Mytilus edulis: one gene and its partners. The protein of the gene in region 1 purifies or fractionates together with the protein of each later gene. This does not show direct contact. Links are inferred from orthologs where the notes say so. Each region holds a gene or a part of one and is shown in the gene's direction. Other genes may lie near its edges. The genes, in order: iron-sulfur cluster co-chaperone protein HscB-like; succinate--CoA ligase [GDP-forming] subunit beta, mitochondrial-like; succinate dehydrogenase [ubiquinone] iron-sulfur subunit, mitochondrial-like.

Region 1 (11,517 bases):
CTTGCTCTTCCAAACACATTGCAGTTGTTAAAGTTTCATGGGTTACCTATAAATAAATGAATGAAAAGTTTCAACTTAATTCTTATGGTTATAACACTTTAAAAACTGCTCGATTTTGTAAGTAAAAAGATCAGTTGTGGTTACATTTTGTATTGCAAGATTGTTTTTATTACAAATATTAATTGCTTCCAATTTTTAGCTACATATATTAAAGTTTAATATAAAAATAAGAAGATGTGGTATGATTGCCAATGAGTCATTACTCTCCACCAGAGACCATTGAAGAAGAATTTAAAAATTAGCAAAACTCATGCCAAATGTAAAACCAAAAATCATGTGTCTAAGACTTAAATATCAATCAGTAAACATCTAATTGATTTAGAGTCTAGAGAATAGACTGCCATTAATCATAGGATAAGGACATGATCTTGTACAATGCAAAAATATAGGTATCAACAGTTTGTAAAACTGGTCAACATACATGACATACATATGTGTATAACAATAATGTTTAATTTGGTTTTAATTTACTGATAGCAAAATCAATATTTATATTTATAAAATACTTTGTTGTTATATCAAAACGAGACAAATATAAAAAAGTAGATGTGGTATTATTGCCAATGAGACAACTCTCCACAAGAGACCAAAATGAGACAGAAAAGCATGTTAAAAAGTCACTGAGGATATGTCATTATTTTTAAAACTAACAACTTACAGTATATGGGAATAAATCAAATTAAGTTTTTAAATGTATGAATGTAATTTTTTTTTTCAGATGAAGACAACTTCAAGAAGAGTGACATTTAGAAGATAGAACATTCTATTGATATTGTTATTATGTCAACAACAAAAAAAACATAAAAAGTTGTGTAACGTTTTGAGATTGCTGTATAAAATAAAAGTAGAGTGAAATCAAATTTTTGGAAGTTTTTTGAAAAATTTATATTCTGCAACAACTAGACAACAGAGAAAAAAATTATGAATGAAATTCTTTAAAGTGGATTTATTGAATTTTTCATTTAACATATGTTTAAAAAAATAATACAATCTCAGATTTCTCAAGACATTGGTTATTATCAAACTGACAAGGGACACAACTTCAAAATTGTATTTAAATTGATGCTAGAGGAAACATCTTATACACTTTTGGGGTTTTCCTTTTCATATTACATGCATAAGTCAACAAATGTGTTTGTCAAAGTTTAACCATAAGTAACATTTTAACAAAAATTGTCAAATACATGTACAACATTCCACAAAATCCATTTAAGACAATTTTGACCTCTTTTTAAAAGAGTTGTGGTATTACTGCCAATGAAACTACAGAGACAAAAGATTGTCGGTTTATATTCCATGAAATATTTCATATCATGGTCTTTTCAATCATCTTAGTGTCAAATGTACCTGATCAAGGATTTAGAAACATGAAAATCATGTTACAGATATTTCTTTTGTTTATTGGTGTATTTAAACAGGAAAATTTTAAAGACTGATGAAAAGTGAAGTCTGATCTGCAATATATGATTCTGATGTTGCTTGTCAAACATGTCAAAAGGAGATTTGTGGTCAAAATAACATGAAGAGATGTTGTATGATTGCCAATTGGACAACTATCCAACAGAGTCCAAATTAAACCGATTAAAGCAATTATATGTCCAGGGAACAGCCTTCAAAAGTAAACATAAGTCGTCTTGGTTGTGTGGAACATATGGAATGTGAACTAGTAAACTTGACAAAGGTTTTATGGATGATTTGGAATAATATCTTATAATTTGTTTGAAATATGCATAATACGCATGTTTGTTACACACATGCTATACGCATCATTTAAAACGCATATTATACACATGTTTCTTACAACACATGTTTAACGCATGATTTTGAAACATGCGTTTTACATCACATATATTTTTCATGTGTAAAACGCACGAATAAGGCATGTTTTAAACATGCGTTTTACATAACATGTATTTTTCATGCGTAAAACGCATGAATAATGCACGTTTAAAACATGCGTTTTACATAACATGTATTTTTCATGCGTAAAACGCATGAATAACGCATGTTTAAAACATGCGTTTTACATGCGTGGTAGGAAAAAGACGTTTCCCATGCGTTACCAAACATATGTTTTACATATGTAAAACATGTGTAAAACATGCGTGGCACTTTTCCCTGTGTATAACAGAAACTGAGAAATGGACCAACAACAAAAAATCCATTGAAACTTGAAAATGAGGTCAAGGTCAGACGAAATGGCCGTTGCACATGTACTACTGGTATTACAATTATTATGCCAAATAAAGTTGACCTACTGCTTACAGTATCTAAGATAAGTACTTGACCATGAAAACAGATCACATATTCATGAAATGAGGTCAAGGTCAAGTTAACCCCGTCTGAAAAACATGCAGACCTTGCAAGGTACACATGATATAATATAGTTACCCTATTAACAAGTGACACCTTATGTTGCTCAGTCACAGGTAACACAACACATATAACAAATCAGGCACAAACGCATATAACAAATCAGGCACAAACGCATATAACAAATCATTTCTTAATACAGAGGCCGAGTAATATGTGAGGAAAAACTATTGCCCAATCATAGGTATAATGAAGATTGAAAGTATCATCCATTGGGAAGCAACTACCAGGTAAATCTGTCAATCACTTATATGGTACAGCTTAACATTATAAAGTTTTATCACTTAAATGGTACAGTTTAACATTATAAAGTTTGGATATAGTACAGTAGATAAATACTGTCATATTATGTAAAATTCTATGCTCAGTGAAGGTGGCTCTAGCACTCACAAACATCTTTAATCATGCTACCTTCTTTATGTACCGGTCCTAAATCTGTATATCATATTTTTCTTCAATTGAATTGCTATAAATTGGGTTGTTAGAACGTTTTCTTGTTTGAATAGTATATCCTATTTTATGTTGGGACAATTTACACCTAATTACCCCTGTATACAGTATGAGTTTTTTCACATTGTTAAAGGCTATATAGTAACCTATAATTCTTTCATCTTCATCATTAGGAAAATCTACCAGGCATAATTGAAAATCATTGAAATATAAATGGAGGTGTACCTGCTTGCATAATACTGTTATAAAGGGACATAACTCAAGAACAGTAAAAGTAGAAGCAAACTAAAGTTAGAGAACTGAAATCAATTTTGTAACAGCCTTCAACAGACAGATATACAGACTGACACCGGTAAAACTTAATCCTATCTCTGCCACGGCGGAAGCAGCATTTAAACAAACAGAAGATACCAAGAGAAAACTCACAATGCAGTGGCGGATCCAGAACTTTTCCTAAGGGGGGGCCCGCTCCAGTCATGCTTCAATGATTCCCTACATAATCAACCAAATTTTTCCCACGAAAAGGGGGGGGGGGGGGGGGTGGGCCCCTCAGGGCCCCCCTGGATCCGCCTATGCAATGTCATGCCAACTTCCAAACCACCACAATAAGATGTATAAAAACATAACTATTCTTTATATAGAATTGACTAAACATCAGATCTTCCATTATACAGAAGCTGTGTACCTGCTGAATGTTATTGATTGACAAGTTGAATGCAGTATACCATCAACACTAAGAAACATGACAAACAAGAATATACTTCATGTTCATATTTTATTGTGTTCTTTTTATGTTTTATAAGAAGATATTGACACATACTTTATGCATGAAGCTCAGATCCTTCTAATGAAATTTGTTAAATGAAATGAATATAATAAATATGCTTATAGATTTACAGATCATGATGAAAGAATCATAAATGATGATTTAAAAACGATGATGTACTACTGACAAACAAACTTAGGTATGTCATAACAATGTTATTATATACAAATAATGGGCCAATTTACACCAAAACCATTCACAGGGTGGTCATATCCTTCTCTTCTGTGTACTGATGTATAATACTGAAAAAAGAAAGAACTGAATAAATGACATGTAATAAGATGGTCTTAGATCCTTATATCTATGGTAGTTGGTCTCTGGTGGATAGTTTTCTCATTAGCAATAATATCTCATTTATGTTTTAAAGTACTAAATGTGTTGCCCTTTTCTATGAAGCTACGTATTTTGTTGGTCGCATCAACAAATTGTTTCACCTATGAAACAATGAAATGCAATAATAACTGTAGGTAGATATTTCATATTAATATAAGTTTATACAGGTTTAATGTGTGACAATGTTCTGACAACTACTGATCTGAAGATCAAACTTTTAAATTTTTTTTTTTTTTTTGTGGTTCCCCATAAACTGACATAATTTCAAACTAACACATAGTTTACATTCCTACCACCAGAAACAGCATAACTGCCTCTTGCTTTTTGACTCAGTTAAGGCAAGACAAAAACCTACCATTATTTCCCCTAATGAAGGCATCTCCATATTTGTTTTTCAGCTGTCCATTCACATATTCTTCTGTTTGTTCCAAAGCAATGTTCATATATCCATCCAAGCAAGCTAAGACACCTAGTAATTTAAAAAAAATCAGAATTATACCTTTACAAATAGTGAACTTCTATTAATTTCTAGCTTTCAAAATTATCTTATAGTATTAAATTCACTGTATATATGTTGTATAGCACAAATTCAATTTAATTAATTAATTATTTTTGTCTAAATAAATTTTAAATGCGCAAAATAATCAACTTATTGATGGTGGCCGCGTATTGGTAGAAGTAGAAGTATTCAGAATAAAAAGTTCATAAAAATATTCAATAAATTCAGGGTTACTGAAAACAAGAATTTTTGTTCATAGCTACTAATATTTACAAATTAAAAAGATTGGGATGTGGATTCCTCTATAAGATTGTTGTGTCAATAGTTTGCTCAGTGTCTCATTCATACATTGGAGTGTACTCTCATTTCCTTAAATTCATATACTGTACTTAAAAGGGTTCTTAAAAATAAACATCAATATACATATACATACTAACTAGATATCATTGAGATGGGAGCCATCTCTGTGGGCCCCGCTGTGAATAATATGCATTAAAAAATTGTATATTTACCATAGGACATGGGTTTGTCAACTGAAATCAAAGTTTTTGACCTTGACCTTTGACCTAGGAAGTTGTAAATAAATTATGACACACCCTTTGGTGTTGGTTTATAAACATGTCAAGTATAAACTTTGAAATGATAACGGTTCTCAAGATATAGAGCGGACAGGATCTTTACCATAGGACATGGGTTTGTCAACTGAAATCAAAGTTTTTGACCTTGACCTTTGACCTAGGAAGTTGTAAATAAATTATGACACACCCTTTGGTGTTGGTTTATAAACATGTCAAGTAAAAACTTTGAAATGATAATGGTTCTCAAGATATAGAGCGGACAGGATCTTTACCATAGGACATGGGGTTGTCAACTGAAACCAAAGTTTTTGACCTTGAACTTTGCCCTAGGCAGTCGTTCATAAATTATGACACACCCTCTGGTGTTGGTTCATATACATGTCAAGTATAAACTTTGAAATCATAACGGTTCTCAAGATACAGAGCGGACACGATCTTCACCACAGGACACAGGGTTGTCAATTGAAACCATTTTTTTTTTACCTTGACCTTTGACCTAGGAAGTTGTACATACATCATGACACGCCCTCTGGTGGTGGTTAATAAACATGTAAAGTATTAAGTATGAAATCATAACGGTTCTCTAGATATGGAGCCGACACAAAGTGTTATGGACGGACGGACAGACTGATCACTATAGGGTGACCCGCCTTTGGCTGGGCCCTAATAAATAAAACATTCAGTTTAGTATCAGTATTGTCTACAATAGGTGACTCAAAAACTATGAAAATAAAAAGCGGAAAATAATGAAGTCCTATTTGTCTTTAAATTGTCATACCTCTGTAATCCACACCTGAATTCAGCTTAACTACAACAGGTCTGCCTATGATTTGTTTCAAAAACTCACTGGGAGTCTGTTTTCTACTCATACCTAAAAATAGACAACTTAATTTTAATTCAAACTATAAATAGAATATTGCTACACATGTTTGTATACATATATTAATTGTGCCATGGGGTATTCAAGATCTATAAATTTATCACAATTGTAGTTTTAAAACATTTAGCATACATTTATTAAATTAAAAATATTATTAGATTTTAATTCCCAAAACATTTTGTGCAGTATAGAATAAAACTTTTCACCTGTTCATGCAACATGTGTTTGAGGCTACAATGATAGATTCAACTAACTACCTTATCTCCGAACTGGCATATTGTTGAGAAAATACCAAAGAAGAGAAATATTAACCGACAAGACCTAAGGTTAATGAGTTCAAGTACAAACTTATCGCCTGTTAATATAAGACATATAATGCATATTAAAACAAGAATATGTCCCATCCGCACTATCATTTTCTATGTTCAGTGGACCTTGAAAATGGGAAAAATCTCTAATTTGGCATTAAAATTAGAAAGATCATATCATGGGGAACATGTTTATTAAGTTTCAGTTTGATTGGACTTCAACTTCATAAAAAAACTACCTCGACCAAAAACTTTAACCTGATCCGGGACAATCGGACTAATGGATTAAAGGACAAATGGACAGACGAGCGGACGCACAGACCAGAAAACACATATAATGCCCATAAATGGGCCAAAAAGTCAGATAATTTAGATTGAATTTGAAACTTCGGCCCAAACAACTGTCGCTGAAATTGGAAATGTAGCCGAAACGACCTCAATTGAGAATAAAGGTGTGTACACGGGAACCTGTGTGATTTTAGTAATTGGCAGTCAAATTTGCATACAAGTGTAAATACGTCTATATGAATATTCAAACAAAGCCAAAGGGATTGGACTTCGAAACAACCTGTACCGAAATTGTAATATGGCCGAACTATTCTGTGGACGAAATGGTAGTGGCCGAAACGACCTGTGGTTGTTGACGAAATGGGACGAAAATTGGTAGTGACCGAAACGACCTGTGGTTGTGGACGAAATGGTAGTGTGGCCGAAACATCTCTAGAAATATTCTTTTCATACAGTTTTCAAACATATTTGTGAGTTGAAGGTAAAACAGGTGTTAAGCCAAAGCTGAACTTTAGATATCATATCGATACCATTACATACTTATAAACTATAGACTGCAAACACTTGTCTTGCCGCTTGAAGAAATGAAAACATATTCTCACGATATCTGCTCTATCAAATGCATTAAGACACGTGATATTTCTCGCGTTAATCAAGATGTCTGCGCCCATGAAGTTATTAAAATCCTTTCAAAATTTGATATCTACCAATATAAGACAAATTAATACATTTTCAAGTAAAGAAATATGTTACATTCATTTTATAGCAAATCAAAGAACTAGACAATACCACAGTTTTTATTGTCATACGCCAAGTTTACACCAGGGTACCTTTTATGTCAAAACCTCCTTACGAAATCGAAGGAATTATAGTCTACAACATAGAGAATGTTGGCGTTGTGGAAAACCAACAAATACCAAGGAAGACATATTTTTCTGCAAGTGTGGGGTTGTTCAATCAGTCAACTCATTGTCTTATTTCGAAATAATGAGCTTAGGTGATAGTTTTGATGTTGACACAGCAGTCTTGTCACAAAAGTACAAAGAATTACAAAAGTTGCTGCATCCAGACAAGCACACATTAAAATCAGAGGTAAATAGTTCATGTTTGGCTGTTTGACACCTGACGGTAAAGGGCATTTCTTTCCTCATATATGTCAATCTATTTTTTTTTAAATAAGTTCCCGCATTTATATGGCCGTTTACATGGTTAAGGGCAGGTATTATGGTATACTGTTATCCGTCCATCCTTCCTCAACATTTTGGTCATTAATTGAAAAATGCTTGTACCAATTTGCATAATACTTTGGTGAATTGTTCACTGGCGGATCCAGAAATTTCCGTAAGTGGGGGCCCGCTCCAGTCACGCTTCAGTGATTCCCTAGTATATAAGCTACCAAATTTTTTTCCAAAAAGGGCCCCCCCCAAAAAAATCTGCCTCTGTTGTATATATCTAATAAGTAACTTCCCTTTAGATGTTTAGTTTTTCACAAATTTTTGATATAAGGGTAGTAATGCCCTTTTACGTCAGGAGTCAAACAGCCATTTTCAGCTGTCGTTAGTGTCAAATTGGTTAAAATTTTACCGTGATTTGTCAAAATCAGTCGATGTTTTTATAGTCTAAAAGAAGGTGTACATTTTATCGCCATACACCAAAAATTACTGTTAACACCATTTGGCAAGAACTTTTACCGTTCTTTGTCATGAAGGTACCCCCTATACAACCCTCTGATAAGACATGAAGAATTTATTGAAATTCATTGTTTTAAAATGCAACAGGCGTATCATGCACTCAAGGCTCAGCTGTTTATTTGTTAGTTGTTATATGTTGTCCACTCCTATACACGACACATAAACAGCCAAACAAAAGTTAGGACCAATAGCCTAGCGCCCAGGCCCCATCGAAAATCACAGAAAGGTAACACTGTGCCGCTGAAAACTCTTTTTTTAAGAGGCTAGGTGGTCTAGTCGTCTAACGCATCTGTCTCAGTGCAATGCGATTTGGCGTCATGATATCTCCCGGCAAGGGAAGAACAAAAGCAAATTTACCAATCTAAAATTGTTGGGCTAATGTTTAGACAAATTATTTATACATATATATGGTATTCTATATTTTTTGATTCCTTAAGACAATATTCATTGTTGCTTTTAGTTTTCAATTTTTGTGTTTTAATTTTCTATTGGGTTGTTGTTCCTGGCCTGAAATTGACATTTGCCCCCATATCTTCCTTCAATTATTTGTGTATATTGTTAACGATTTGTATGTGTGTTTCTCAATCTGTTAACAATTTTATTATACTAAATTCATTCCAGGAAGAAAAAATCCTTTTTGAAGAGCAGTCATCCCTAGTAAATAAAGCTTACAGTACTTTGGTTAAACCTTTGAATCGTGCATTATACATGCTTGAACAAACTGGACACCCAATAGAGGAACAGAATAGTAATGTTGATCAAGAATTCTTAATGGAAATCATGGAAATCAATGAAGACATTGCTGATGCTGATTCTCCAGAGTCACTCAAACCTATAGAAATAATAAACAAGAAAAGACTGGATGATAACATAAGTCAAGTATCTAAAGCCTTTCAGGAAGGGGACATAACTGCAGCTAAACAGCTTGTCATAAAACTCAAATATTTCACAAATATTGATGACAAAATCAAAGAAATTTACAGAGGCCAGTTCTGATTTTTTGTGACCTACAAATACCTGTTGCAAAAGCAACTGAATGTTTATAGGATCTGATATTGCCTAGAATTGTAGCTTCTACAATGTTGGTCTACCTGGATGATTGGTGGGAAAAAAATGATATATTCTTGAAAAAGAGGATAATTTTTTATGGCATTTACTTTGCAACACAGATTATCTTTATACCAGAGGCATTTGGGACAGGAACCCACTGTTATTTTAATCAGATTGGAACCCCTGTTTATTTTTATCTGTGATACGTTTATTCTCGATGAAATTAATTATTTAGCTTAGTTTTTTTTTCTATTGTCTACAAAGTTTGTGATTAAGATAATTGGTAAACTAGAATACAGTCCCACCTATTTGAATTTCAACATTACATTTTTCTGTCAAAATAATGCAAGGGCTAGACACAATTATGTCTGTGTCAACATTTAATGAATTCATTTCCGAGTGGTCTTAATCTTATTTTTTAACTATATATAAAGTTTGAAGTTAATTTGTTTCTATGAGTTTTCATTTTATTTCAATGTATATACGTGTATATATCAAACTACCTGAGAAAATAACAGAAATCTATCTTTAACTCATTTTTGTCTGTCTACTTCAAATCTAAAAAAACATTCAAAAATAAATATAGGTTTCATATCAAGTGAGAATTTGATATTTATTACTTGATATTAACGATCATTAACCCCAGTTATTTTTTTATGTAATGAAACTGATACAAAGAAAGGTTGTGATACACTAGTAAAAGTATTACCAAATTAATATGCAGAATTGTTATAGCCAGTGTGAAGTTAAATAATGCTGATTTATTTTGTGTATATGTGTATGAAGTGGAATATAAATATGTGTGCTGGAAGAGAGTGATGTAAATGTGTGAACAGCTGGTTACATGTCTTTATTAGACACCTTATGAGTATTAATAAAAACTATATTTGTAGACTTTGAATTTTTAGAACTGTCAATTTCCATCTGGAGTTATTATGATTAATGAAGTGGGTGTGGTAAGTGTAGTTGAGACATCTCTAAAAGAAACCAAAGGATGTAGAAGTTAATACTGTAAATTCAGAAATTATGGGATGCATTTATTATTGCGATTTTTCACAAATGGACAACGTTGCATGTTTAATTATTGCGATAACAAAAAAATTTGCATGAAGATCTATGTTTCTGTTATCAAAATTCAAGGTCTTATTATTGCAACACTCACCCAGTCGTATTAATCACATTAATAAAAAACCTCACAATATTTTTTTTATTTTTTACAGTAACTGTAGATCTATCATCAATGTAAGGCCTTTAAAAATGAGCAAAACTATATTACATTGTAAGCTATAAAAAGCAACAAAATTACAAATGAAAACCAATTCAATGAGAAAACTAAGGATCTGATTTATGTATATAAACAAATCTTGATATATAGCAACAACTGATTTGGTACAGCACATACAGAATGTGGTGGGGTACATATTGGCTGGTGCCAAACCTTCCCCTAACCTGAGACAGTGATGTATCAGTACAACACAAGAACATTGTCTTAAACCAGGTGCTCCACAGGGCGCAGCTTTATACGACCCCAGTGGTCGAACCCTGAACAGTTGGGGCAAATTTGGTCACAATATTCAAGCTTGATACCGTCTGAATTTTGATTGTGATCAAATTTTTGACATAATATAGGTTTTTGCCACAAAATTAATGTGGTTCAAGATCTAACACATCTATTGCACAATACTGTGCAATTGAATATTTCTTATTGAAACTTTTCAAAATTTGAAATTTATAAAATGTTGAAAAAAAAAAAATCCCTTACAATAAATGGTAAACTGAGATCCCCCCCCAATTTATTGAAACCCCCCTTGGAGCAATAACCCTTAAACTCAATCCCATGCTTTCCTTTGTAATATTGAACCTTGTATTACGATTTCAGAGATCCATACACTTAAACACAAGTTATTGTCATGATTGTTTGGAAACTAGAAACATGCTTCTTTTTGGCCCTTAATTCCTACATATTTTGGGCAATTAACCCAAAACTTAATCCCAGCCTCCCCTTTGTTATATGGTACATTGTGGTACAATTTCAGAGCGATCCATGCAATTACACACAAGGTATTGTCTGGAAACTAGAAAAATGCTTATTTTGGCCCTTAATTCTTAAACTTTGGCCCCATAACCCCTTAAATGAATCCAAACCTTCTACTTGTGATTTTAAACATTGCAGTATACTTT
Region 2 (11,163 bases), on another chromosome or scaffold:
TGACAATGACTATATATTACATTTTCCCAAATTCACCCTTGGAAAAAATATTTAAATAGATTTTAGTTTCATCAAATCTTATTTTTTGGGTATTATTTATATATTATGAATTATATTCTTTACACCAGAAATGTTATTTATAAACAAGCGTATGAGTTTAGTAATGACAAGTAAGACAGAGTTGTATATTATACATCTGATAGTTCAAAATGGAAAGTTATAAGTTATAAGTTATCAGCCGTGTACACTGATCAATACCTGCAGAAGTGAAACGATGCATGAACTTGCAAGCCCGACAGGAAATCGCTTGAATACCTGGACGTGTCACCTCACACCCCTCACAATACCTTTGGAAGTAATACCTTTAGCCATGTTGGTGATCAGATAAGGGAAGATCAAAATATATTTGAAAAAAGTTTATTACTTTAAAGAATTATGAACAAATTAGATTTTCGAAAACAATTTTCACGGAACACTTATTTATGATTTCAACTTTGACTTTTCACCTAATTCCAATATCAACAGTTTAAAAACAACAGACCATGGTAATTTAAAAAAAGTAAGAATATTTTCCGTATCAAGTTAGTTAGTCGTATTAAACAACCGTACGATTGACAAGATATCGACACGCAATTACGACTACATCGGTTACTGTAGTTTTGTTTCTTTGTGGTTTATAGACATATCGTTTTTATTCATCGGGAAAGAAGACAAGATGGCGGATCTCGGAGAATTGATACTCTAAATTTAAAATCGATGGTGATCGCTTATCTAGCGGAATAAAACTTTAATATCTATGAATTTGAACATTTTTATACAGAATGAACATAATATCAATTTTTGATTTTTTTGCGAAGTTTCCCTTTAAGAACAGGTAGACAAGTATTTATGACATCATATGAAAGTTACAATTTTAAAAGTGTTATTGTGAAAATTCATAGAATTTGGTTGATTAATTTTTGGTTTTCGGACAGAGCTCAACAAAGAAATACAGTGTTACATACATTTTAGAAAGCCTTGCAGTGAGTTACAACATTTGAAATAAAATGTGTGTCAGTAAAACAAATGTTGTCTAATATATCAAGAAAATAATCCAGAACTTCAAACTTTGAAATCCAGCTATTATCTATTCTAATGCAATTATTTTGTATCAATGGTTCTGATTGGATGACAGTTAGCGTAAAATTCTCTATCTCCTTGTCTGTAACTAAGGTAGCCGACATTTTGAATTGCTGAATGTATTGACATGTAATTTCTACAATAAAAAGCCAAAAAACTAACATGTCGCACCTACAAATCTTCTTTTTATAAAATTTCATTACATTCTGAAGCGGCAAAGAAGCCAGAAACTCCTGGTGTTTATGTTTGACGCTGGAAGCATACCTATGACGTCACCTAATGTAGGGACCAAAGAAGATAACATCTTTTCGTGGAATTTTCTTTAATGAAGATTTTACACTGAAATAATTATTGGAATTTAATTATGAACTTGTTTTGCATTAGAATAGAGATAACTGTATTGTATTTGAAGCTTTTCGGACGTCCATCGGTAGTTTTACTGTGGCAAATACCTGTTTACCTGTCTCTACTACGTGTTGCCATGTAAACTAAATTTGCGACAGTAAAACTACCGATGGACGTCCTTAAAGCTTCAAATACAATACAGTTATCTCTAAATTCATCCCCAATAAAGGTCAAAGTTTAACTACATAGTATTTATAAATATTTACTGCACAATAACTGTTAATATTCTGCTGTAATACAGCAACTTCTTCCTTTGTCCACTGTCCTTGTTTCCATGTTGCACCTTTAAAGACATATTAAAAAAAATCAATAAAATCAAAGTGCACCTTATTCAGTAAAACTATGATTTTTGCTTTTAAAAGTGTGTTTTGATAAGAGTTTCAATCTGTTATATATTGCATTTCCAATAGTCAGAAATACTCAAGATCATCTCAAAGGGAAGCTGTTTCAAGATCACCTCAAACTTAAATTTAGACTATTTTTCAAATAACATCTTTTTTGTCCCAAATTGTTAAAAGATAATATAATTATTGATACTTCATAAACCATTTAGACTGTATCCTTATGTCAAATATCTTTTTTTGTGTTTTATCATTATTGAATTGTTATTTCAATGAAGTTCTCCCTCAAATCTTATTTTATTCATATGCTTCATTAATGTGTATACCCTTGCTATGAAGAGCATCCTTTTCATCTCTAGTTGTGAACCAAGCCTGAGAAATATCTGAGCTTTCTAAAGCTTTTCTGTTCCCAGAACCTGACTGTTTAGGGCCTCCAGCATCTCCTGCACTCAATAAGACTGATCCATTGGTTGCCTTAAACATAAAAGAGTATCTATTGAAATAAATAAAAAAAAATTTTTTAGTAGAAAACACATGGTTCTGCATACATGTACATGGAGTAAATGGATTCCGGAAAATAAAACAAACTTATTTTTAAAAAATTATATTGAAATACTGTGAATCAGATACACGATAAAATTATGATACTTATCTTATGATTAATTTAACTTATCTAATTCAATCATTTACAGACAAAAAGGTTATTTCAAATCTCAAATTATTGCAAGTTCATTTATTATAGTTTAGTGAACTGTTCCTTGCATAATAAAACAAAAATGGTTCACAGGACATTTTCACTATGAACAACCCTCTTTACTCTTTCTGAAGTTTGTTAAAAAGTCAAAGAAAAGTTGAGAACTTGAAAATTTGGTATTTTTTTTTTTTTTTTTAACTTGCATCGAAATCTGGGGGAAAAGAAAGACTGTTCTCCTTCTCTCCCATGTTAAATTTGTATGCCTATCAAATTATTTTTTTCCACCTTATACATCATTAAATTTACCTGAACTGTTTCCACTTTTTCTACAATGGTTTCATCAGTTGTCAAAGTATCCTCTGTAACAGAAATGAAATGTCTTAAATGCTATATATATATGGTACTTCTTTTAAATGTCTGTTTTTGGTTATTTTGCGTTGTTTTGATGCTGTCTTATAGAATTCGAAGGTACATATGTTGTAAAACACAAATGTAAGAAAGATAGTAGAAAAAATGTATGACTGTCTGTATAAAATCTGCACTTGTATAGTTATTTGTTATGATTTTAACATAACACTGAGAAAAGTTGACTCAGATTTATAAAAAAAACAAACTATATCTATATTTAGCTATTTTTAATGTTTTGTAAATATTTTAAACATTCTAATATTTACATACTAAATTATTTATTACGTGTGTTAAAATAACATTGTTAATGATTGTTCGGCACTCTATAATTTTATTTTTGTAATTGAATTAGTCTCTGTACTGATTAATCCACACTCTCATAGTGTTGTATGTCATGTGTTGCTATTTTTAGGCACTTTTTGGCTATTCATATATACATCTACCTGGAGCCACAGATAGCACATAAGACTGGCCATCACCACCTTCAATACGAAATCTTTTGGCTGCAGGTTCATCTCCATTTTGAGTATTTTCAATAGAATCCATTCCAAGGGATGCTAAAATTATATAAGAACCATATAATGTTTTAAACAAAACTTAAGCAATGATATTATAGGGGGACTCCTCTAATCTGACTGTATACTAAGATGTGTGGGTGGAACAGATTATTTTTTTTATTAAATGTAAAACAAAACAATGAATTGCAATTTTGTGTGCCTGACTCCATGCTTTATTGACTAGGATTGTCAGTTTTCCTACCAAAGATCAGTATTTTTTCACCAGGTATTTACAAATTAAGAATCTGAGACATCTTAGTTTTAAATCTCAGATTCTCAAGATTTTAATGCAATGTACATATTTATGATTTTTTTATTTTAAAATACCAGTCTCACATCTGTCTGTACCCAAAATCATATTTTGAGACCGTGCCTACCACCCTGACCCCTCAGTGTAATTTTCACTTACCAGCAGCTTCTTTTGACAGAATAAGGAACCCAGCTGTTGAAGATGGATCCATGTCAACAATGTTCTCTATGTCCTTCCATTCCTCAACAGCTACATCTGTTTGTTCTAAATCTGCTTCCCCATCTGGTACCTCTATCTTCAAAAGATGAGTCTTGTGAATTGTCTCCCCTTCATCACCATTGTCAATGGCCTCTCCTTGTAAATTTGCATTGATTGTAACATCTTCTATAGACGTTGTAGACTGTGTTAGGTCATGTTGTTCATTATATTGTATTTCTGATGTTCCGTTTGTACATATTTCTTGTACAACTGGTTCTGAAGTTTCCTGATTTGCTGTCTCCATAAAAAACACCTGCAATATAAAGATTCATTAATTATCTATAATGCCATATCTTAAATATATTTTTTATCTTGGATTTTCAAATTCAGTGTATATATATATAGAAATCAATTATGAAAATCAATGGAAATTTGAATTTGGTAAAGATTTGTGTTTTCATTCATTTTTTAAGATAATGAAATTAATACATTTATAATCTCCTGCTTCTCCATAATACATTGTACATCTATTTTGGTTAGAATTCAAAAAGATCCTTACATGGTGTCTTTCCGTAACTGAGAGTATATGTGACAGTAAACAGTGTCACTTATTAACAAATAGCTGGTGCTTTCCACAGGTTAAAATATCCTAGTGTAAATCATCCTCCCGAATTTTACCCTTATTGATTTACTAGCAATTCTAGAAAGACAAATACAAAATGTATAATAGAGCATGTTGAAGGTAATCTATAAAAATGGAGGACATGCATTTTTCATTTGGAGAAAATTACATGTATTAATAATTATACTAGTCTAGTGTTTTCCACTCAAGTTTAAAAATAACTCTACTATTTTTACTATCATGGATAAAATGCACTAGCATTTTTTTTTAGTTAACATGGTTAAGGAATAAGGATACAATACAGTAGTATTTTTAGGTATGATATAATATGTTAGATTTCTTTTAAAATAAAGTATTTTGTACCATAAGAATATAAAACCAAAGTTGTTAAGGTTGTTACAATTTTCAAGCCAAAAAACCCATCTACATTTGTACATATAGGAGTAAAATGTCAATAGGACATTTCCTCCTCCTCTATCATGTCTATGTTGCTTTAAATTGTGGAATGTATGAAAAATATATGATAAATATAATCAAATTAATTATTATTCAAATATATCAATTTCATAAAGATTGTTGCAATTATCTGCCATAGTAGGTTTTCTTTTTCATTTGTTTAATATGTTGTCATAAAATTGAGAAAGGAAATGGTGAATATGTCAAAGCGACAACCACCCGACCATAGAGCAAACAACAGCCAAAGGCAACCAATGGGTCTTCAATGTAGCGAGAATCATGTCTGGATCTATTTTAATATGTTCTACACAGTACAAATTTGGCTTTGTTGACGGCAGGTTTGGTTGTTTACAAAACTTAAGGACAAAAGGGATGATTTCAGCTTCCCAATTGTGAACTTTCAATTTCTATGTACATGTAGCAACATTCCAGCAGTGCCTGCATACGAAATATATACAGACAGATGTGTGGATCTGCTAATTACCCATCCAGAGCACATGAGATCAACTCCAGTTTTTTGTGACGATCATGTTGTTCAGTCTTTAGTACTATGTTGTGTTCTGTGAACTAATTGTTTGTCAGTCTTTTTTTTCTTTTTTAGCCATGCGTTGACAATACACCCTATATCGCTATTCCCAGCTGCTTGAACTTCTGACCTCATACAACAATCACTTGTCCATTGTGGTGTCAGACATTTTGTTTTATGACTTCAAAATTTTACGGGGACCTGTTTGATATCCGTTAATGGGGGACAAAAAGCGATATTAAGGTGTATTTATTTTTTGTGACTTACAAAATGACTTATGAGTTTAAATGGCGCTTCGGTATCTTTCGCCTCTCTCTTTTATTACAATGGCGCTTTTAAATATTACAGATAATTATTATTTATACATGTTAACAAATGTTCCAATTAATAATTTAAACAATGCAGTTGAGTTTATAAAAATTTATGATTGAAAGTGATTTTATGCACTCATAAACAGATTTGTTTTGATTTTATAATTTTGTCAACATATTGATATTGATTTATTTAGATTTTGTAAGCCACGGAATCATTTCATTTATCAGAACTTGAAAATGTAAAAGCACACAATATTACAGCTGATAAACACGTGGTTTTGACATTTTACAATGTTTTCGTACGGGTGATCAAAGAAGAGCCAGGATGAAAATCTTGTAAGTCCCAGGATGAACAGAAGAAAGTATTGCGGATGAATTTAGACTTATTGTTAAGCGATAATAAATAAGATATAGTATCATCAATTCAAAAACTTACTAATTTTAATGAGCAGAATTTGTATGTTTTTTCATTTTTTTGACGGCAATAACAATCGTGTTGCTGATAATCATAGGACTATTTTGTTTGTACAAAAGAAGTTCGAAGTATCGCGAGAGTTTGAGTTTCTTTTCGAGAAAAATGGCTGCGCCCATGAAAATGATAAGAACGTCAGTTAGACACGGTTTATTGCAAAGACTGTGGAATAAAGTAAATGTCAATGAGATCTGATTTATTTTCCAACACAATATATATATATTTGATTATATCAGGTGCCTGATTGCTTATGTTCTTCAACAAAATTACACTTTATAGCATCTATCAACATTACCAAGTTTTGACTTTCAAGCCGATAAGGTGACCAGTCACTATAATAATGTAAACATACACATGGAAAAGGTTTAAACTAGAACATTCTGGTCAGCATTGTTTTCTGAATTAATCTCGCAATGTCCTTGATATATACCTCCCCTAATTCGTGTAATTGGCTACAAGCCGATAAGGTGACCAGTCACTATAAAAATGTGAATCCGGGTCCGTCCGCCCTGATTCTGGTTCGCCCTAGTTTCTGTTCGCCCTAATACCTGTTTGCCCCGAGTCCATTCGCCCTGATTTTATTTTTTAGTATAGTGTTGCGTTGTGTGTATATAATTGAATGTGTTGAAGTCAGTCTACAATTTCGCCGAATATTTACGATGTATCATATTAACTTGTCTAAAGCTAGCTGCTATACTAAGTTATAAGTTTCAGTACATTTCAGGACTACAAGATATTGTGACTTCAAGGTATTGAGGACTAAGTTTGTATCTGTATGTAATTACGTTACTAGGAAATATAAGTTTCTGTGAATTTCAGCACTACATTGTATTTTTAAATGTAAAACAACTGAAGACAAAGTTGTTGTCTTGCTGCTACGAGGATAAGTTTCTGTGAATTCAAAGACTACAAAGTATTTGACATAAAACACTAAAGACTAACATGACTAAGTTATTCATATATTTAACTTTCTTGATACATTTTAACAATTTAAAAATATTCAGTAACAGTTATAACAAGATCAATTCCGAACTGTACTTCACACACATTTATTTCCTAAACGAATATTTAAAAGCACTAAATAGAATTACTATTAGTGAAACAAATACCAAAAACGCAGTCACACTGCTGTACATGATCACTTGTCATCAGTGTTTTTACCCATCCTTTTTTTTAATTTTTTTATAGACAATTCATATAACAATCAGTGATATCAAAGGTATCAAATGACACCTAATCAGCAATCAAAATTCAATCAACAGTAATTAAAAGTAATTATAAAATAAAGTGTAACAATGCAGCCAAGAATGTTATTTAATTAATATAAATTTGGCAAATATTCTGTATTTAACTTTTAATAGATATACATAAATTTTAATATATATATATATTGTTCATTGATGTAACATATATAGATATTTATATCATAATATAGGGCAAACGAACCCAGGGCGAACAGACTATCAGGGCAAACAAACTCAGTTCGAACAAACCTAGGGCGAACATGTAATCAGGGCGAACGATCCCGATACCTAAAAATGTAAACATACACAGTGTTCTAGGATTTTTTTGGCACCTTGACTTACCACGGGTAAGATCAATAAAAAAATTACTTACCCACATCTAAAAGTTTAATCCGCCAACCAATGCGGACGGCGCAAAGCTCGCCGCCCTTATGGCCGGGGGTCTGGGGGCCGCTCAAAAAACTTTTATGACATGCTTTAAATTATATGTTGTGAAGTTTGTCTGAACAAAGCTGGATTCGGATACGATTGAATTTTGTACAAAATTTAAAAAAAAACGATTTCTTACTAAATTTGACAAATATGTTATAGTTATTACTATGTCATTTATTAAGAGTTATAATAAATGCAACTGTAAGTTTATTTTCCTCCGATGACAAGAAAAAAAATCGTTTATGTCCCGATTTTAGCACCAGTTATCAATCCGGATTTTCCGATTTTACCGACACCGTGACCGACTTTTAGAATGATAGGTGAAGAATGTGGTCTCTTTTGCGCTTGATTACACCTAGTAAACGAGTGCTTGAATAAAAGCGCCGATAGACATCGACAAAATCTTCGATCTTTTATCAAAGTTTTTTCTCGTGATTTAATAAAAATAAAAAGCAGATATGGGAAAATTGAAGAGGACCGGGAAATTTCAAGAGTTTTTCGGCTTCCCCGAACTTGAAAATTGACTTACCACCGGGTGACAAAGGCTAAAAAATGACTTACCCGTTGTCCTAATCCACTTACCCCGGGTAACGGGTAATGGGAATCCTAGAACACTGATACACAGTGCTCTAGCTAGAAATCAAAAGGGGCAGGGTGCCAGTGGAGGGCAGGGCACTTTTTATGATAAGAAAAGGCACTGCTCATTTTTTTGTCTAAGTTTCTGTGTGTATCACGAGTTAACGAATCTCTTTGTTTTTTTTATTGTATATGTTGTTTTTTTTAAATAAAGATGCTTTTCAACTATAGTCTTTATTTCATTGTTTGTGTAGTTATGATTGATATGGTACATCTTCATCAACATATTATGTTTTTACAGTTCAACTTCACTCTACCAATTATCAAAGAATATGTGTTTTTTTTTGTTTTTTTGTTGTTTTTTTTTATCTATATAGGAATTATAGCTTTGAAAACATCATATGAACTGAAACAGAGAGCATTACTAATTTAACAATGTTTAGAACATGGATTGCTAAAAGTATAATTATCAAGTAGAAATTGCAATATATATTTTTTAATATGTTCAAAGACAGTTAATATCTTTAAGATAACATGATTATGCTATTATAAATTATTATTCAATTGGTAATTTATTCCCTTTTTTGGTACTAGATAATATTTTTAGAGCACAAATTTGTAATAAGCTAAAACAGGGGAAGTAACTCCGAAATCAATTTCCACCACGTTTGGGTTAATTAAAAACTGTGCTTGTCGCTAACAAGTTAAGATGGAAGGCATTTCTGTAAAGGCATAGTTTTATTTTGATGACTTAAATTCAATTCTAAAGTCATGAAAGTCTTCATTTATATACACTCTTCCATTGTGACTTGGAGATCGAAAATGCCGACCCAAGCTAAACACACTCGCTGACACATTCATCAAAAGTATGACAAAAAGATACATTGTCCTAATTAAATTACCTAGTTATTAACACCTTTGAAGTCTTTATCATTGTAATTGATTGTAATAAAATGATTAACCTGGGGGCAATCACACAGGTGTCATATATGTAATTAACTTGGAGATCAGAAATCGATGAAACAAAATTTTACCAAAACGGCACAAGATAATTTTGGAAAAAGACGTCAGGGCAGAAGGGCGCGGATGAAGGCACCCAGGGTGCAGCTGAGGGCACCCAGGGCGCGGCGCCCTTCTATTTTGGGCTAGCGAGACCACTGATACACATGGAAAAGGTTTAAACTAGAACATTCTGGTCAGCATTGTTTCCTGAATTAACCGTTATCTTGCACTGTCCTTGATATATACCTCCCCTAATTCGTTTAATTGGCTAATATTTTTGCTATCCCTTGGCTTAGATATGTACATCAGGGCTAGTAAAATACTGAGCTGCTTATAAGTCCTGGGCTAGTAAGCCATGCATTAGCTGTAACAAAAAATTTTAACCCTGGAAATTTACTTTCGTTTTAATTCATTGCTAAGTGGTTTGTTAAATCCTGAGAAGTACGAAAATAATTATGACGATATGGCTAACGCTAATTTGATAAAGACAGAAAATATTGAAATGTTTTCATCACCACATGTACCTTAAGCAACGGAAACTTTCAATCAAGAGGGACCCTTTCAGTACCCTATTTTTAGAACAAAACAACATTTCTGATTTTCAATTTAACAAAAATAGATTGTTGCGACAACTATGTAATAGATGCGCAGATAAGGGTAAATAACGCTACACAACACATTCATTGCTATGGACATTGTATATATATATATATAGACAATCAGCTGCAGTGATTCAATATTAAAGTGTAAACAGGAGTTATTCAAGAGGCAGTTGCACTATCAAAATTCTATTAGCTCAGTCTAGAAGTGATAATATTATTACACTAATGATTAAATTAATCATTTTAAATCTAATTACACTAATGATAAACTTAATTGTTTTAAATTGAATTTTTGATGTATCATATCTCCTCTACTGATCAGCTGAAAGTTTTTTTTGTCTTTTAGCTCATAGACTATTTTGTCATGTGACTGTGAAATCATCAATGTTTTTTCATGATTTACTCCTAAAGTATAGAATTTTATAGAAATAAATTATAAGGAATGACTGTAATATATTTTTGTCTAAATGAAATAACCTAAAAATGTGTTAACACTTTTTAAGTTACATTCCTATAATAACTAAGGCAGCCTTGTTTTCACAGCTAAGTTTATCCCTTAATAGCCTTGTCTCATTGATTTACCATGGTTAATCAAAAATGTATTAATTGAATTAAAAAATTAGTTATCAAGGCTATGCATTTAGTTTCTGTTCAAAGTCTCAAGAGTTCCCTAGAGCCCACTATAAATGAAATAATTTTACAAATAACAAACATATATATGTTATTACAGATTTAGAAAATTTAAGGAATAAAAAGTAGACAACTCATGAAAGTATCTGCAATAACACACACAAGTTATATTCTGTAATAACCCTATAGAGTTATATCTCTGACTGTACACAGGTTATTCAGCGACTGTTTACGAGAGCAATAGCACATTTTTGTTCTTGAGATATCAACTATTTTTTCATTGTTTGTGGCAAAACATCAAGTTTTGTAATGCAT
Region 3 (11,232 bases), on another chromosome or scaffold:
TAAGGAATCTTCTGAGCTCTCCGATGTATCCCATCCCGGTGGAGGGAAACGACAGTGTGCCTTGTCACTAAGATTTAATAGCTCATACTGTGAAACAGCCCCATGACCTTTCTCAGAGGCCCTTGTTGTAGGAAATCTGTGTGGGAGAGGTTCTGTTGCTTGACAGATGAAATGTGTTGCCATTTTACAACAAAATCTTCATTTTATCCTGTAAAAAAATAAAAGAGAAAAATTACACATCTTTCTTTTTCTTTACAAAAAATAAAAAGAGTATAGAAAAAGGAAGTATCATTAAATATTTCATTCCAGTCTTATCTATACTAAATCAGTGCTAAAAAGTTATTAATGGAGTACTAGTGTGTCCCTTGGACACAAATAATGTCCATGATTAAAATGTGTACATATAAAGGAACATAAACTAATATCAGATAATGTAAACTAATTTTGAGACGTATGGACGATTAGATATGGTAGATCATCATGATCATAGTATAATGTAAGAGTAAAATTTCACTTTTGGAGAGTGTAAAATAAAATTTAGCACCGAACTCATGTTAAATATCAGTTTGGTATGGTCAAGATGTATGGTTAAGTTAGCATACTTTTAAGAGAGTTACTCTCCGTAGCTAGTTATTATGTTATCATATGTATGTGCAAATTGCAGTCTGTATTTAAATTGTTTATTAGTTTGATTTGTTCTCTTGATTTATTGTGACCATAGATGTACATGTGTTTGGAAAATAAAACATTAATTTGAAAAGTAGTTTTACTATTTATGCCAGAGTAAAGCATAAAACTGGGTAAAATTTGACAGACCTGAAATTTCAATATGTTAACAAGCTTTCAGAGTATGAATGGTGATTAAAGTGTAAACAGCACAGGTTAAAAGTCAGGTACATGTATGAACAAAAGTTTTCCTGGATAGACTTAATATGTAAGTGATAAGGCAATTTGAGGTGGTCAAATCAGAAAATCGCTGGGGGCGTCTTTTTACCACAGAATACCACAGTATACTCAGAATATACCACAGAACTACACAAATTACAATAAAACTACTGAAATATACCACAGAAGTTACAGGACATCAAAATTACTTTATGAAATGCATATCTGATAATACCGAATCATAATTTCTTTAACTCAGGTTACACTAATCACATGACCAGCCTGCGCCAAAAAAAAATTTCATCTACTAGTCCAGACACAAAATTTCCAAATTTGTCCCAATATGACCATACAAATTTTGAAAATATTCACTAGTCTGAATCAATTTTTACTAGTCTTGGGCATCGGACTAGTGACTAACGGTGCAGACTGTATGACGATTGGCAGGATAAGATAAACATTATCATAACATTTTTGTTATTTGGCATATTTTTTTACATTTGAAATCTAAAATAAACATTTAAAAAAAATGTTTTTCAATAGCAAAAAAAATTATTGCACGGTTTATTGAATATATTTAACTGATCAATTAAAAGTGTTATTATCTATTTTGTTTTACAATATATTTTAGTGATATTAAGAAATCTGCGAGATTATTAAATATGATGTTTTAATCTTGGATCTTATTTATTATAAAAATTGTATTTTTAGAATTATTCATGTTATTTGACAATACTTATGATAATCATGATAATTAGAACAGGAAGACTGCTATCATCATTCTATTTTTTAATTGCCACCTGATTGAATAAGATAATTCAAATAAATGTATTTGGTGTCTCAGGTGTGAAAATATAAATGACATGTTTATTGGCTTGATTGGTGATTACAGAGAGTGTCAAAATTGGTTAATCTAATTAAATTATGGTACTTTAATTGTGCAGGTGAACTTGCTAAGGTCAACATTAATTTTGGACTAAAAAATATAGAAACTACAGAATAGAATAGAATAGAATATTTTTATTTCCCAAATTACAGGGCCCATAAAGGGCATAAAATCAGATACAATTGATTACCACATGTATATATATGTAAATGTCACATGTATGTATACCAGTTTTTTTTCACTATAAAGTTCCAGTTCAACATTTCTAAATGCATACAAAATTTGGTAAAAATCCGAAATATTGTCAAATAATTGAAGAAGATACACATATATACAACCTAATGTTCAGTGATCATGTGATAAGACACTTGAAACAGTCATCAAACTTGAACTTTTTGACAATTAAAATACACACTTATTATATGTTATTAGTGAACTCAAATATTTAATACTGTCCGTTAACAACTTCAGAATTTTTTTTGAAAGTATTTGAATATTAATTTTACTTATCTTAACATAAAATTAATAAAAAAGGGGCAAAAAAACCTGACAAACTAAATAAATTATGGTCCCAATTACAAATATAGATTAGCCATTCAGTAGGGGGCTTTGTGATATAGTGAGTTTTGTTTCTAAAAAATATAATTTATTTGAATAATATATGTCAAATTACAAAAAGAATAGTCAATACATTAACTGGATAATAATGCCTGAAGTATTAAAATTTTGAAGTTCTGTGGTACATTTTGAGTGTTCTGTGGTAAAATGACGCGCTCGAAAATCGCTCCATACTCAGAATCAAGAAAGGGTTTTATAATTAGTAAACAAAAAGTTATCTTATTAATCAATGAAAGCATTATTCAAACAAATGAATGATAGTTTTGGGATATAACATCACTTGAATCAGTGAATCAAATTTTGTAACCGCCCATCCCTAGATTTTCCATCATCTATCATGGAAAACTGCATGGAATTCCATGGAATATTTTTCCATGGAATTCCATGGAGTATTGGAACCTGTTTTCCATGGAAATCCATGGAAAATAAAAAGAGAAAAAAGGAATTAATAATATTTCCATCTGAAACATTTTCCATGGAATTCCATGGAAAATATTTTCCATGAAGTTTTTCCATGGAATTCCATGGAAATATATTACATAGAATTTCTTTTTCCATGGAATTCCATGGAAATATTTCCATCATTTCCTTTTGAAATGAATTGCTCAAATTAACCTTTTGACAATATACCCTGTTTAACAATATCTGTAATAATGAAGATAAAAAAAACTAGGTGCCATGCTTTTTTCGGTTTGGTAAGGTCTTTTGAGTCTTACAATGGTCAGTAATAAGCAATAGACTCAAACATCATTTTAACCTTTAATTCAAACTTATTTAATGTATTATAATAAATACAACAAACAAGAAAAACTTTCAATACTGGTATATGTTTGCACTGCCTTTATATCAAGAAATTAAGGTTATAAATGTCACTTATGTCAGCACCAGGCTTCAGTAGATCCATCTTGTAGAACAGCATTAACCATTTTATTGGAGTTTCATTTCTTCCTCATGATACCTAAAAATAATTTTACTGTTATAAATAAAGAGATATTCTTTAAATAATGGCATTATTAATAATGGTTAACAACTTTAGTCTTTGTCCTAAATATTTTTTTCCATAATTATTGTATATAAATGTCTTCATTGGTATTTTCCATCTATTTAGAACTTAGTGTTGATCTGCAGTTTGCTGTAAAGATACACTTTTTTTTACTTTTATGGATCTATTTCTCATTGGCAACCAATTTCAACGGATCTTAAATTTTATAACCAAATTACTTCATTAGTGGATTATTAGTTATTATAATACACCATATACAGTTTGTCTTGTCTTAATACCCAATCATTATAATTATAAGTGAAAAATCTACTATAGGTGTTTTCATGATGTTTTTATGTTGAACTAAAGGAGCTTGCACACACTTAAAATGGTAGAATCTAATTCAGTGTACTTACCAAAAAATATGCTCTAAATCCAACAGTCAATGCAAGTCATCAGAGAATAAATCTGCACTATTCGATGTCAAGAACTATTTGGAACTATTTAATCTAAGTCCAATATAATTTAAATTTTGCATTTTGTTCAGGAGAGAAGACATCTTTATTTGTTGCCTGCATATCCATTGCAAGTTCAAATTTTCAATGTGTTGGGGGGTGTATGAGGAGTTATCTGATTTCTTTTAAAAGAGTCACAATTGAATACTGTTATTTACCAAAATCTTGGATATTTTATATATATTTTAATAAAAGATTGTCCATTTATTGTTTATTTACCATTTTTATGTTTTAAGTAATAATAATTGCACAAAAATGTATAAATCCATGTTCTACCCTACATTTGGCCTCACACTGTATGGTCATAACATTTCCTGTCTTCTACACAAAGACCAATGAAAACCAGATGGCACTTTACATTTCTTTCACTGTCTAATTGATGATAAAGAATTAATGTATGTAATTTGTGTACATTTTTTCCATGACTTTCCATCTCAAAAATATTCTAAGTTAAGATTTTATAATGTTTCCATGTTAAAAATATTCTAAGTCAAGATTCCATCCTCTTTTCCATCTCAAAAATATTCGAAGTCCACTTTCCATCTTCTTTTCCATCTACAAATTTTTATTAGTCTACTTTCCATCCCATTTTCCATCCAAAAAGTATTTTTTCCATGGAATTCCATGGAAAGTTTTCCATCTTATCATGGAAAATGATGGAATAAGTAACACATATAAGTTTTCCATCTGACATGAATTATTTTTCCATGAAATTCCATGGAAACTCATGGAAAAAAACAAAATTTCCATCATTTTCCATCATTTTATCATGGAAAAAGTTGAACTGCATGGAAAATCTAGGGATGGGCAGTTTCCAGGGGGTCTCATTGGGGGATTCCGATCCCGGATCCCGCTTACTGTTTTGTCAGATTCCTGTATCCCGCTTACACTATGTACGTAAGCAATTCTCATTTTTTTGTCATTTCCCAGGTCCGCTAGACCTCATTTCCCGTTTTCCCAACACAATAATTTGACTTTCAAGTGTCACGCTTACAAAAAATCAGCAATCCCGCGTCACGCTTAGACCCCAATGAGACCCACTTTCCATTTTTTTTAAGTTATAAATCAGTGTACTACTATAGCTACATGTATGCAATATATAAAGTAGTTGACCTTGTGTTCAAATCAATTTTTCTTAATCTGTTTAAAATATTTTATATAATAATGACATTTAGAATTAAAAATTATATAAACAATACATTTATACAAGTGCAGTAAGTATACAACGTCAACTGTACAACAAGTCTGTGCCTGCAACAGAGTCAGAGATCCACAGCAAAATTCGCCTACGTCAAAAATACCTAGTCGACTTAAGAACGCTTTAAACTAATATCAAACTTGGTCCCCTTTTTTTATAACACTACAGTCGATTCTTACATTCAACATATTAAACAGGAAAGATATTTGAATTTTGTTAACCGATGAGCAACAGTCGCCATCTGTAAACAAAGCAAGGTAATAATCTCTTAAAGGATTGTAAATTCTCAGATACAAATTTAGATAATGCAAAATACCAAATAAATATATATATATGATAAGAACGCTATGAACTTTAAAACTGAATTTGCTTTCTGGTCTGTAATTTCCCCAAAAATAATCATGCTTTCGAATCTTGTATTGATACTTATGCTATTTAATTAAAAACATTAACACTGTCTTACCTTATAAAAAACTTTTATTTGGTACGTTGTTGTCTTTATAATGTTTTGTGGTATTTTGTTGTATTTTTTATGATTTTCAGGAGAATTGTCTCAGTGATAACTTTCACCAAAAGTTCAAGGTTACAGGAAACGACAAGTGCGCTTGAACGGAATTACATAAACTACATGTAGATCTGCAAAACAGAAATGGCTAGTTCGACAGTGGTCAAGATAGCTCCAGTAAAAAGAGCCTTATTGCAATTAATTCAGGTATTATTCATGACTTTTGATATTGACTCGTTCATTTGGACTAACAGAAATAGCTCACAAAAGGAGAGGACAGGCAGAAAAAAAGTAGAAAACTGTTCATTGACATTGACATAATTTGTAGGTTTCATAACATTAATTTACTATTAATGTCAAATCGAAGAATATACAAATTATGTATTTGTAATATGTCATCATATATAATTTTTTATTAAGGTTCAACCTGAAGAGCTAATCATGAACTGTTTTAAAATATAAATTCTTGTTTATGTAATTTTGGCATTTTCATGATATCACTGTTTATGTAATGCAAACAAGTTTAATGATTCTTAATTTAGTCTTTAGTTTAATTTAGTTTTCATTGTGTTATTATTGGTTACCCAGAGTACCTGAAAGAAAGAGATAACATTAACCTTGCGATCACAAATTATACTTGTATCACAGACACAGTTATATTGTTACCATTACTGATCAGTATATAATTTATTGGTATCAGAGTTTTATTTTGTCTTCCAGTTATCAGCAAGTCCAGTATAATTTTGTCTTCCAGTTATCAGCAGTACATACATTTACATGCATGTTATATTCATTTGTAATTTTTTATCGTATAATCATATGATATTGTGTTAAGAATATTACAGATGTAAGATGATATGACTTATTGACACATGTTGGAAATAGATGTACAGTTTTTTCTTGTGAGAAACTTGCATAAGGTCATGTTTTTCTCTGACTTTTAATGACATCTTTACACTAAATCCATTACATGGAGATCTTGTACTGATTGATAATTTAGTCACAGATGCCCAGAGATGCAAACAGTTTTTTTTTCCTGTCAGACAATGGGGCCTACAGGGTACCAAGTTTTGCCAGACCCATCAAATTTCTGCCAGACCCATATTTTCACTCAAAAATCAAATGAAATTATGCTATTGAACAAACGTTAATTTTGATTTTGTTGATATTATTTTATCGGCCATGACATATTTCCTGAACTTATCAACTATGCTTAATAGACCTCCTTCCTAGAGAGCGAATTTCTAAAACAAAAAACATGACGGAAATACGGAGAATTGTTCGGGGCGAGATGGACAAGGTACGAAAGACTATTACTGGGCGGAAATACTGGTTCCCGGAGTTAGAAAATGCGGGGGAACAGGACATTTACTTTTATTAAAGATGATCGCAATTTTATAAACAAAATACTCTGCCGGGGCCGACGGGGATTTCAGTTTTGGCGGACTTAAATATTGCCGGCCATCAGGTCCTGCACAGCTACGAGTTTTGCCGTACCTGCATAAATTCTGCCCCTTAGGTCCGACGGGTCCGACGATCAGTTGCATCTCTGGATGCCTGTTTTATTTATTAGTTGTTATTGTCTATGAACAAGCTGTCTGAAATTTGGAGTATTCTCAGATCTGTACTTATTGTTATTTTGTTGTTGGGATGTACAAGTACATGAACATGTACCCCCCCAAGAGAAAATAAATCTGGAATTCCACTGGAATCCCGGCTGGAATTTTGATGGGATTCCAAGTGGGATCCCACCTTATTCCACCGGGATAAAATTTCGGGAATCCCGCCAAAAGTCCGGTAATTCCGATGTAAATCCCGGTTGAAATATACTGGGATCCCACTGGGATATTGTGGGAATTCAATTGGGATCCCACTGGGATAAAATTTCGGGATTCCCACTAAATAAGCGGGATCCCGATGTAAATGTACTGGGATAAAATTTCAGGATTCCTGTAAAAGAAGCGGGATCCCGATGTAAATCCCAGTGGAAATATACTGGGATTCCCGGAAAAAAAAGCGGGATCCCAAAAATAAATACCAGCAGGATATACATGCACCAATTCAAATTGCACTGCCACTGGGATTTCTGGGTTATTTATGCAAAAGGATACATGTCATGTTTCTTTCTGTTAATTAAATTGCTGTCTCTGTACTTCCAACTAGAATTGCTGAGTAAATTATGGTAACTGGAATATCTGCATGCAATCTGTTTCGTTGGCAGCTCCATTTAAAAAGATCAGTATATCCCCTAAAAGTATAAAAAAAATCCACAAAGAATCATTTGTTCAATACGTTTTGAAGCAACAAATTCAATAGAAATATTATTGCATGTTAATGTTTATAGAATACAGTAGATTGGAAGCAAGTCCAAATAATTATGAAGTCTTTGAAGGTTATTTTAATTTTTTTGCAAATTAATTACCTTCCCCCTTTTTTATCCCCTGACGATAAATAACTAGCGACTTATTATTTTCACCAAATAAACATACACACAACTGAATTAAATTTTGACATACCTACTTTTTATGCCTGTTATGTGACAAGTTAACAAGTTTATTCATTGTATATGTTAAAAATAAATATATTTTCAGTTTATGCTTTCAGACTTTCTGATGTTGATTTGCTCAGATAAAAACCATACAAATCATAGTTCCTCAATAAATTATTTTCATAATCATTATATGCACATATACACATGTTAAATTAAATTATTAATGCACTTATCTGAAAACATCATCTTCGTCCTGTCCATAATTCAGCGTAAACAAATTTTGATGACGTTTTTACCAGTACACAAACGTCGACGTGACAATCTCGCCCCAAATTATATCGGCCAAGTTGATCTGTCTCCGTAACGGTATTATAAATAAATTAAGGGTATCGCATAAAAGAATTAATTACTGGCCAGTTTTGACTAAATATAAGAAAAGAATACTTTAGTAATCGGCACCTGGTGCATGCGGATAAGATAGTGGCCGCATTATTTAGGACAGTATTTTCTTGGGTCGAACTGGTACAATTGAAAACAAAGCACGTGGTCATCATTTTTTTTTTAACATTTTACATAAGTTGAGAAACCAACGTTTTACGACGTCAGTCATTATCTTATCATTGATGCCGGACGACAACTAATAGAAATGCACTTATGAGAACTTGAGGAACATTAGAAATGCCCAAGCTCGTCTGGCAAAACACCCGTTGACATTTCCTCGGACGCCCTCCAGTATCATTTTTATCGCGAAAATCTCGGCATTTTTCTGACTTATAAATATCTGTCAAACTGAATATTAAGTGACACTTAAATGTGATTGGCTTCACCTGACAGCTTTGGTGTCATACACATTGTTAATTAACACCAATAACCTATACTTGATGTTATTAGAGACATATGTATACACAAACAAAACACTTGCATATTTTCAACAGCATAAATTAATTATGGTTCAGACAATTTCCCGTTTTAACTAGACTGGGATCCCAGCATCAGATAGTTTTCCCGATTGGGATCCCGGCTTTAAACAGTTCCGATTGGGATCCCAGTGTCCGATATTTATCCCGTTTCATCTAGACTGGAATCCCGGCTTCAGACAGTTATCCCGAATGGGATCCCAGTTTCAGATATTTATCCCGAATGGGATCCCGCCTCCGGATGCTTATCCTGGCTTATCCCGACAATTTCACCGGGATTGCATTGGGATCCCGATCGATCCCGTTTTCGTTTTCTCTTGGGCCTCCCATGTTCTCTCTGTTCCGATTAGGGGATAGATGTTTAGGGGCCTGCTAACATGTTAAACCTGAAAATTATGTATGTGTCTGTCCCAAGTCAGGAGCCTATCATTCAGTGGTTGTCATTTGTTGCTGTGTTGCATATTTGTTTTTTGTTCATTATTTTGTACTTAAATTGGGCAATACATTTTTTTGTTTGAATTGTTTTACATTTGTCATTATTCAGCCTTATATAGCTGATTATCAGGGACCGTGCTGGGCTTTGTGTTGCAAATTGTGATTATTTTATTTCATCTGGCAACAAATTAAGGTTGCTGACATACATGACATAGATAAACTATACATTGTATATGATGAATATTTCTTTTGTCTTACAGACAAGATGTGCACAGACAGCAGCAGCCACAGAGGTTGCCCCAAGAATGAAGAAATTCTCAATCTACAGATTTGTAAGTTGGAACAGCCATATGCACAACTATTACTTTAAATATCTCTAAATTACTTATCTACATAACGTAACGGTACCCAAATTGCACCTATTTAGCAAAAATAGCAGCGGAAATCTTACAAGATCTCCTAGAGACTAAACAATTTGTGTTTTTATGATTTGATACTGTGCATGTCTTTCAAAATATGTAAAAATATTTAGATATACACAAAAAAATTCACAGTATTTATCAACAGATGAAGTGTTTACTGAAAAAGCAAAATGTACCGAAACGTCGCCATGATGTCATCAAAACGTCATCTTTTTAAGATTAGCAAATACAATATGTTACAAGTATCCATTTCTTAAAAAAAAGAAGAGTAAGCAACGACAAATATCCAATTGTTCAAAATATTTGAAAAAAATAAACAAAAGCTTTGTTATTCGTCTTTTGACAATGCGAATTTAAGCATGGATGCAATTTGGGTACTCCTCATTGCAGAATCATTGATGGTTTAGAGGTTAGTTCAGACCAATTTTTCTATGATTCCATATGAATGGTGTACCTATATAATAAAGAAGGATACGGCTACAAAATAAACACAAAATGGAAATTTTTGTCGATCATAAAAAAACGTAGTTGAAAAAACTGTCAAAATAGGTGCAATTTGGGTACCGTCACGTTATACACTGTATATACCTGAAGAACAGAAGAGTCAGATTTAATTTTTCATGAAAGTGTGAAATTGGAAAATGATGTGTGCTGCACTATAAGAATAAGCAATTTTAATACATGTATATATATATGTAAAGATTCTTTAGAGTATGGAAGGCATGTTTAAATATTATGTGTATTGCAACATATTCATGATCATCCTAATTTATTCCAATAAATTTTTGAACGTCATCTCTTAAGAAGTTTGGTCTCTTTGTTAAAATTATAATGATACTAATTTTTATCAATTATTATATTTATTTCATGATATATTTGGAATGAAAAGGCTAAGGTTAAAGATAAGAAAAAATTTAGCCAATGTGCATGATGTGAAATGCCTCAAAATAAATTATAATGTTGCTGTTGCATAAAAAATATCCAGATCATCATGAATTAAGTGTCAGAATAAAATTTGTGAAAATATAAAACATTTGTTTACTTTTACAGAACCCAGAAAAGCAAGGAGACAAACCCAAAGTACAGACATATGAACTGGATCTAAATAAGTAAGTTATGAAGGGTTATGATGTCCATGGTTTACTGGCTATCCATTTGACCTTCAGGGGTGTGGAAATATTTGTTGTGAGCACTTGTCCCTGGGCAAGTAAAACTGTAAATTTTACTTGTCCGGAAAAAAAGTTACTTGCCCTGATGGTCCAAATTAATATTGTAGTATTTAAAGTATTGTTAGCTAATATATGATTCTTAGCACGGTTTTGCATCCCAAACAAATCAGTGAAATCAATTGGTTTATATGTGTAAAAATTTAGGAATG

Evidence for each region.
Region 2: the proteins of iron-sulfur cluster co-chaperone protein HscB-like (region 1) and succinate--CoA ligase [GDP-forming] subunit beta, mitochondrial-like purify together in Homo sapiens (affinity purification with mass spectrometry; 3 studies listed by BioGRID and IntAct, with this or other methods). This does not show direct contact. The link is inferred for Mytilus edulis from reciprocal best matches to the Homo sapiens genes HSCB and SUCLG2.
Region 3: the proteins of iron-sulfur cluster co-chaperone protein HscB-like (region 1) and succinate dehydrogenase [ubiquinone] iron-sulfur subunit, mitochondrial-like purify together in Homo sapiens (co-immunoprecipitation; 3 studies listed by BioGRID and IntAct, with this or other methods). This does not show direct contact. The link is inferred for Mytilus edulis from reciprocal best matches to the Homo sapiens genes HSCB and SDHB.

Annotation. Positions count from the first base shown.
Region 1 is NC_092347.1:98,516,224-98,527,740, forward strand, and holds iron-sulfur cluster co-chaperone protein HscB-like, read left to right. Parts: upstream 1-7,229; 5' UTR 7,230-7,252; coding exon 7,253-7,687; intron 7,688-8,907; coding exon 8,908-9,282; 3' UTR 9,283-10,233; downstream 10,234-11,517. Other genes in the region: U6 snRNA-associated Sm-like protein LSm6, read right to left, coding at 3,917-3,951, 4,398-4,511, 5,898-5,988.
Region 2 is NC_092344.1:74,495,864-74,507,026, forward strand, and holds the start of succinate--CoA ligase [GDP-forming] subunit beta, mitochondrial-like, read left to right. Parts: upstream 1-6,419; 5' UTR 6,420-6,467; coding exon 6,468-6,536; intron 6,537-11,163. Other genes in the region: cyclin-D-binding Myb-like transcription factor 1, read right to left, coding at 1,731-1,807, 2,192-2,339, 2,866-2,918, 3,411-3,524, 3,934-4,276. UniProt on the Homo sapiens protein: GTP-specific succinyl-CoA synthetase functions in the citric acid cycle (TCA), coupling the hydrolysis of succinyl-CoA to the synthesis of GTP and thus represents the only step of substrate-level phosphorylation in the TCA.
Region 3 is NC_092356.1:48,309,474-48,320,705, forward strand, and holds the start of succinate dehydrogenase [ubiquinone] iron-sulfur subunit, mitochondrial-like, read left to right. Parts: upstream 1-5,617; 5' UTR 5,618-5,733; coding exon 5,734-5,796; intron 5,797-9,692; coding exon 9,693-9,764; intron 9,765-10,904; coding exon 10,905-10,963; intron 10,964-11,232. Other genes in the region: uncharacterized protein DDB_G0284459-like, read right to left, coding at 1-183. UniProt on the Homo sapiens protein: Iron-sulfur protein (IP) subunit of the succinate dehydrogenase complex (mitochondrial respiratory chain complex II), responsible for transferring electrons from succinate to ubiquinone (coenzyme Q).